Cricetulus griseus: one gene and its partner. The protein of the gene in region 1 purifies or fractionates together with the protein of each later gene. This does not show direct contact. Links are inferred from orthologs where the notes say so. Each region holds a gene or a part of one and is shown on either strand. Other genes may lie near its edges.

The links. The genes of interacting proteins can lie anywhere in the genome.
Region 2: the proteins of Eif3i (region 1) and Eif3h purify together in Homo sapiens (affinity purification with mass spectrometry; 7 studies listed by BioGRID and IntAct, counting the BioPlex papers as one, with this or other methods). This does not show direct contact. The link is inferred for Cricetulus griseus from reciprocal best matches to the Homo sapiens genes EIF3I and EIF3H.

What each region holds. Positions count from the first base shown.
Region 1 is NC_048595.1:23,438,293-23,441,533, forward strand, and holds part of Eif3i (eukaryotic translation initiation factor 3 subunit I), read left to right. Parts: intron 1-920; coding exon 921-986; intron 987-2,214; coding exon 2,215-2,364; intron 2,365-2,443; coding exon 2,444-2,571; intron 2,572-3,241. UniProt on the Homo sapiens protein: Component of the eukaryotic translation initiation factor 3 (eIF-3) complex, which is required for several steps in the initiation of protein synthesis.
Region 2 is NC_048603.1:3,232,890-3,236,639, forward strand, and holds the start of Eif3h (eukaryotic translation initiation factor 3 subunit H), read left to right. Parts: upstream 1-1,460; 5' UTR 1,461-1,514; coding exon 1,515-1,646; intron 1,647-3,750.

The sequences.
Region 1 (3,241 bases):
ATCTGTGCAGCATATCTGCCACCATGTAGGTGCTGAGGCTCTAACCTAGGTCCTCTAAAAGAGTAGCAAGTACACAAGTGATCTTAACTCCTGAGCCATTTTTTTCTGGTCCCTCCAACCCCACCACCCTGGGATCTCACTGTGTAGTCCTGACTGTCCTGGGACTTGCTCTGTAGACTAGGCTGGCCTTGAACTCAGAGATCTGACTGCTCCTGCCTCCTGAATGCTGGGGTTAAAGGCACATACCACTACCGCCAATCTGTTTTGAGACAAAAACCAGATACAACCTTTCACCACTGAGTCTGGAGCTCACTCATTAGCTAGACTTGGTCATCAAGTCACTGAACTTCCTGTCTTTACTACTCAGTCCTGGGCTTGCAGGCACACCCTGTTCCTGCTGGAGATTCAAACTGAGGTCCTCTTGGTTCCACACCTAGCATTTTACCCACTGAACTGTCACTCCAACACTAATCATTTTTATTTTATTCTGTGTCTAGAAATGGCATGACTGTGTGTCTGTGTGTCTGTGTCTGTGTGTGTGTGGTGTCTGGTGCCCCCAGAGGCCAGAAGGTCATTGACCCCTGGAACTGGAATTGTGAGCCACCATATGGGGGTTGGGACTCTAACCTGGGACCTCTGGGAGAATAGCCAGTGCTCTTAACCACTATGCCATTTCTTTTCTTTTCTTTTCTTTTCTTTTCTTTTTTTTTTTTTTTTTTTTTTTTGGTTTTTTGAGACAAGGTTTCCCTGTGGCTTTGGAGGCTGTCCTGGAACTAGCTCTTGTAGACCAGGCTGGACTCGAACTCACAGAGATCCACCTGCCTCTGCCTCCTGAGTGCTGGGATTAAAGGCGTGCGCCACCACTGCCCGGCTCCCACTGTGCCATTTCTTGAGCCCAAGTTTCTTAACACCTTCTTCAGGGGACACCAAGCATGTCCTTACTGGCTCAGCTGATAACAGCTGTCGTCTCTGGGATTGTGAAACAGGTAAGCCTGGGCTATCCACTTTTCAACAAGAATTGACCAGCTTCAGTGTACCTGTCTAATTAAATATGTTTTGGAGAACTAGAGATAGATGGTTTCCAGTCTATAGATTCAGAGACCTCAAACAAAACAGCCAGGAAGTCACCTGAGGAAAGAAGCTTCATGTTTAAGATAATAAGCCATTCAACTTGAAAAATAAATAAAGGTTGGGAGTGATAATGAGCTATGTTCAAGGAAGGCCACAGAGGGACAGCGGACCTCCTGAGTGGGGAATGGGTGGCCTTGGGAGGTGGGAGCTGGGGCTTTCATTGACAGCAAAGTGCTTTGTCACAAGCAAGAATGAAAGCATGGAGTGTCCGATAAAAGGCTAGGACGAGCCGTGTGTGATGGTACACACCTTATCCCAGCACTGGGAGGCTGAGGCAGGAGAATGGAAAGTTTCAGGTAGCTTGGGGGTAGGGTAGATGAAACAGGAGGCTAGAGCCAGAAAAGCCTTGAGTGTGGAAGAGAAGACCTTAATTTCACATTCTGGGATCGGGGAAGTCATTGCCTTCACTCCTGATCTCAACAGGTTCCAATGGTCATACAGGTGGTCCTGCTTAAACTAATGGGGTCACAAAACAAAACTAGAAGTCACGAACCTGGGAAATGGACTGATAGTGGTGGTGATGGGGACAAGAGGGAGAGTAATCGGGGTATATTATATACATATGTGAAATTCCCAGGCGACAAAATAATTAAAATACAAAACTGCCCGGCAGTGGTGGTGGCGCACACCTTTAATCCCAGCATTCAGGAGGCAGAGGCAGGTGAATTTCTGTGAGTTCAAGGCGGGTTACAGGACAGCCAGGACAGTTACACAGAGAAACCCTGTCTCAAAACAACAAAATAAAAAAAAACTTGGCACACTGAGGAGTCTGATGAACAGGGAAGAATAGTGGACTGGTGGGTTTGAACAAGGTCCAAGCTGTAGAAGAGCTGACAGCCAAGGGGAGGCCATTATATTATTCTCGCTACTGGGTGATTACGTCTGCTTCTATGCTGGGACACGCAGGAGAAACAGTGTGAGAGGGAGACATAGCTGGGAACACGTTACTCTCAGGGTTGGTTCATGAGGAGATGCTGTAGGAGGGAGTTTAGCCTGTCGTCCTCAGGGCAGGAATGCTGTGAGACTCGGTAGGTGAGTGCAATAACATTAGACCAGAGTAACCTAGACCCCGCCTCTCCCCAGGGAAGCAGCTGGCCCTACTGAAGACCAACTCAGCCGTCCGAACCTGTGGCTTTGACTTCGGGGGTAACATCATCATGCTCTCCACAGACAAGCAGATGGGGTACCAGTGTTCTGTGAGCTTCTTCGATCTACGGGATCCAAGCCAGATTGGTGAGGGCTAGGACTAGGGGCGCTGGGGTGGGTGGTGTGACTTCAGATCCCAGGGCCTGACCTCTGCTGCTCTACACAGACACCAATGAGCCCTACATGAAGATCCCCTGCAATGACTCCAAGATCACCAGTGCCGTCTGGGGACCCCTGGGGGAGTGCATTATTGCAGGACATGAGAGTGGTGAGCTCAACCAGTATAGCGCCAAGGTAAGGGGCCAAGTGTTGCCAGATGACATCAGGTGTGGGAAGTACTCAGGCTATGTTACAGTGGTCACAAATAAGCATCTCCTGTCACTAGAGAATCAGACAGCAGCTTAAAAACAGCCAGTACATCCGGCACTGGTGGTGAACACCTTTAATCCCAGCACTCAGAATAGAGCTGAAGTAGTTGGTATACATGAGAATGTGGAGTCCTAGACGGTCATGATTATCGCCACGGTGCACTGTGGAGGCAGAGACATCCTAGTCTACAGAGCCAGTTCCAGGACAACCAGAGCTGTTAGATAGAGAAACCCTGTCTTGAAAACAAAAAACAAAACAAAACAAAAGGAATTGGAGATATAGTAATAAAAAGGAAGGGAAAAATAATATATTTACAGACAGGTGTGGTGGTCTAGAGCTATAACACAGCTGGTGAGAGCTGGGACCAGTGAAACAGGAGAATCAAAAGTTCCAGGCTGGTGGTGCACGCCTTAAATCCCAGCACTCGGGAGGCAGAGGCAGGCGGATCTCTGTGAGTTCAAGGCCAGCCTGGTCTCCAGAGTGAGTGCCAGGACAGACTCCAAAGCTACACAGAGAAACCCTGTCTCAAAAAACCAAAAAAAAAAAAAAAAAAAATTCCAGACTTGAGGGGAGCTGAGGTGAGACACACCTTTAA
Region 2 (3,750 bases), on another chromosome or scaffold:
GAGTTTCTGTGTAACAGCCCTAGATGTCGTGTAACCCACTCTGGCCTGGAACTCACAGAAATCCTCCTGCCTCTGCCTCCCGAGTGCTGGGATTAAAGGTGTGCACCACCATCACCCGGCCGTTTCTTCCTACTTTTTTTTTTTTTTGGAGCCTATCCTGGAACTAGCTCTTGTAGGCCAGGCTGGTCTCGAACTCACAGAGATCCTCCTGCCTCTGCCTCCCCAGTGCTGGGACTAAAGGTGTGCGCCCCGCCGCTGCCGCCGCCACCACCACCACCACCACCACCACCACCTGGCCTACCCTGCAGGCTCGACTCCCATTTAATTCTTTGTGAGGGTTTTATTTTTGCATTTTACATCCCTGCTACTGATTGGTAGTGTCACTCCTCTATGACCCACCTTGTGGAGATTTTCTCTGTGGTCCAGGAGATGGTCTACTTTGTTCATATTTCTTATAGACTTGAAAAATCGGTCGTTGAATCATTAGTAACACTTGGGGTGTAACAGTTTCTGTTGTCTGTATGATATATAACAGACCCTAAGTACTAGCAACAACGAAATCAAAACATCAGGGTACAGTATGGTTTGCCACGGTGTGAGCATTGCATGACTCCCGAATAGTGAGTGAAGTCCATGCTCATTGCAAACATAAGGCGAAAAGTCACTTGGGAGCAGGGATTGCTTAACATGGCTTGCTGCACAACCGATGCAGTGGTTTGCAGACCTGATACCATGTAGGTCCCGCGTGTCACAGGCCAGCACGGTTTGCAGGGCATGTATTCTGAATGCTCACCATTGCATCAACGTGAACGCTCCAACGGCCCATAAAAGAACCCCTTTGGGGGCTGGAGAGATGGCTCAGAGGTTAAGAGCACTGGCTGCCCTTCCAGAGGTCTTGAGTTCAATTCCCAGCGACCACATGTTGGCTCCCAACCATCTGCAACGAGATCTGGTGCCCTCTAATGTTGTATACATAATAAATAAAATCTTTTTTTTTTTTTTTAAAGAACTCCTTTGGTATTTTACTCAAGCGAAGCATCGGTCCTGGAGACCGCAGCAAGGTTAAGCACGGTCTAAGTACTTTCCGTGCGTTCCCTGGGGTTAGAGACTGCACAATCTGAAACGTCACAAGGCCAGCGAGCGGCCCCAGGAGCTTGTCACTAGTTAGCAAGCGCTGTGGCTTGCCTCACGCCTCCTTGAAAGCTGGTGGGAGGAGTGGGAATTAAACTAGCAGCGGGAAGCACTTTTGCACCGGCCCCGCCGCCCGAGTGCGCGCTCTGTCGCTGCAGCGGCCGCGCGTTTAGCGGAGCGAGTGCAAGCGCACGCTGGCCCGGGAAGGATCCGGGCAGGCACGCAACGCGCATGCGCGGGGCTATCCCCGCCCTCAGGAAGCACGGGGAGGGGGCGTGGCCGCACCCTGGCCGCCCTTCCAGACCCAGACCCCCCCCCGTCCAGACGCCGTGGTTCCGCTTCCGGCGCCGCACGCTTCCCTCTCTTCCTGTCTGGCCGGGACCATGGCGTCGCGCAAGGAAGGCACCGGCCCCAGCGCCGCCTCGGCGGGCTCCGCGGGCTCCGCGGTGGGGAAGGGCAAAGGCAAAGGCGGCTCGGGGGACTCGGCCGTGAAGCAGGTGCAGATCGACGGCCTGGTGAGTGCGGGCGGCCCGGCTTCCGGCCGCTGTCCCCGCGAGGAGCAGCACCCTGGCCGGCGTCTGCACTGTGGCTCCAAAGGTTTCCACCGAGGGGGCCGGGGGCGAGCAGAGCCGGGGTGGGCGACACGTTGCATGCCCTGGAGAGCCGGTCCAAGCCGGTGACAGCTGCTGCGGCGAGCAGGAGGGTTCAGGGCCCTGCGAGGGGGAGAGAGAGAGAGAGAGACACCTCCGGAGGAGGCTTTATTTTAAACATTTATTTATTATGTATTATACAACATTCTGCTTCCCTCTATATCTGCACACCATCAGAGGGCACCAGATGTCGTTACAGATGGCTGGGAGCGACCGTGTGGGTGCTGGGAATCGAACTCAGGACCTCTGGAAGGGCAGCCGGTGCTCTGCACACCATTAAGGGCACCAGATGTCATTACAGATGGTTGTGAGCCGCCGTGTGGGTGCTGGGGATCGAACCCAGGACCTCTGGAAGGGCAGCCGGTGCTCTGCACACCATCAGAGGGCACCAGATGTCATTACAGATGGTTGGGAGCCGCCGTGTGGGTGCTGGGAATCGAACTCAGGACCTCTGGAAGGGCAGCCAGTGCTCTGCACACCATCAGAGGGCACCAGATGTCATTACAGATGGTTGGGAGCCGCCGTGTGGGTGCTGGGAATCGAACTCAGGACCTCTGGGAGGGCAGCCGGTGCTCTGCACACCATCAGAGGGCACCAGATGTCATTACAGATGGTTGTGAGCCGCCGTGTGGGTGCTGGGAATCGAACCCAGGACCTCTGGAAGGGCAGCCAGTGCTCTGCACACCATTAAGGGCACCAGATGTCATTACAGATGGTTGTGAGCCGCCGTGTGGGTGCTGGGGATCGAACCCAGGACCTCTGGAAGGGCAGCCGGTGCTCTGCACACCATCAGAGGGCACCAGATGTCATTACAGATGGTTGTGAGCCGCCGTGTGGGTGCTGGGAATCGAACTCAGGACCTCTGGAAGGGCAGCCAATGCTCCTAACACTCTGAGCCGTCTCTCCAGCCCTGTCACCCTCGCTTTGAGTAAGTAGTGCATCACTTCACCTGGGGCAGACCCTTAGGCAGTGCTCAGTCTGCACAGTAACAAGCCGCAGGGAATAAGCTTTTTAAGCTTTTAATAGGATATTTCTGGGTAAGGTTTATGCACCGGGGCATCTGGAAAGCTCGGGATAAGAAAACGCATGGGACGGAAGACGTGGGCATCTCAAATGATGTGGGTTTCCAAGCTTGAGGAGCATCCTCCAGCAGGTTGTGCTGGCACATGGCTTTACTTGGAGCACTGGTGAGGCGCAGGCCGCCTGGGTGAAAACCCTTTATGCTGGTGACTGGGTGTGAGCTTGTGAAACTGTCAGTCGTGGTTATGGTCGACTGTGATGTATCTGTGGACGCCAGAGTTTGCAGGATGCTCGGGAGAGCTCTGGAAAGGTTTATCTAATATTTAAATGTCCCCTGTATAAGGCAATGCTGTCTCCTTTGCTTCGCTTACAGTTTCAGCTTTCAGTGGCTTTTTTGAAGCAGGTGCCTTCAGGAATGAATACTACATTTTTAAAGATTGTCGGTTAGTTGGTGGGTGGTGGACTTGAATTGTAGAAGTACCAGCTAAACACTCCCGGAACGTGTTTTAAGTCTTAAGAACTAATGTTTTAGTGCACTTGCATATGCTTTGAAACCACTCTTTGGATTCCTTGGTTTCCAGAGTTGTAGAAGGCAACAGGTAGATATTATAAATCGGTAACTACAAATACATATTTTAGGACTTGGGCTGGGCTTGGTGGTACATACCTGTAATGCCAGCACCTGGGAGGGTGCAGCAGGATGCTAGGGAGTTGTTTGTCAGTCTGGGCTACATAGTGAGACTGTCAAAGAAGAGAAAGTAAAATACTTTCAGGGCAGTCTTGAAACTGCAGAGCTGTCATGGGACAGTGCCTTAAGAAATTTGAAGCAGCCGGGCGTTGGTGGTGCACGCCTTTAGTCCCAGCACTCGGGAGGCAGAGGCAGGCGGATCTCTGAGTTTGAGACCAGCCTGATCTCCAGATCGAGTGCCAGGATAGGCTCCAATGCTAC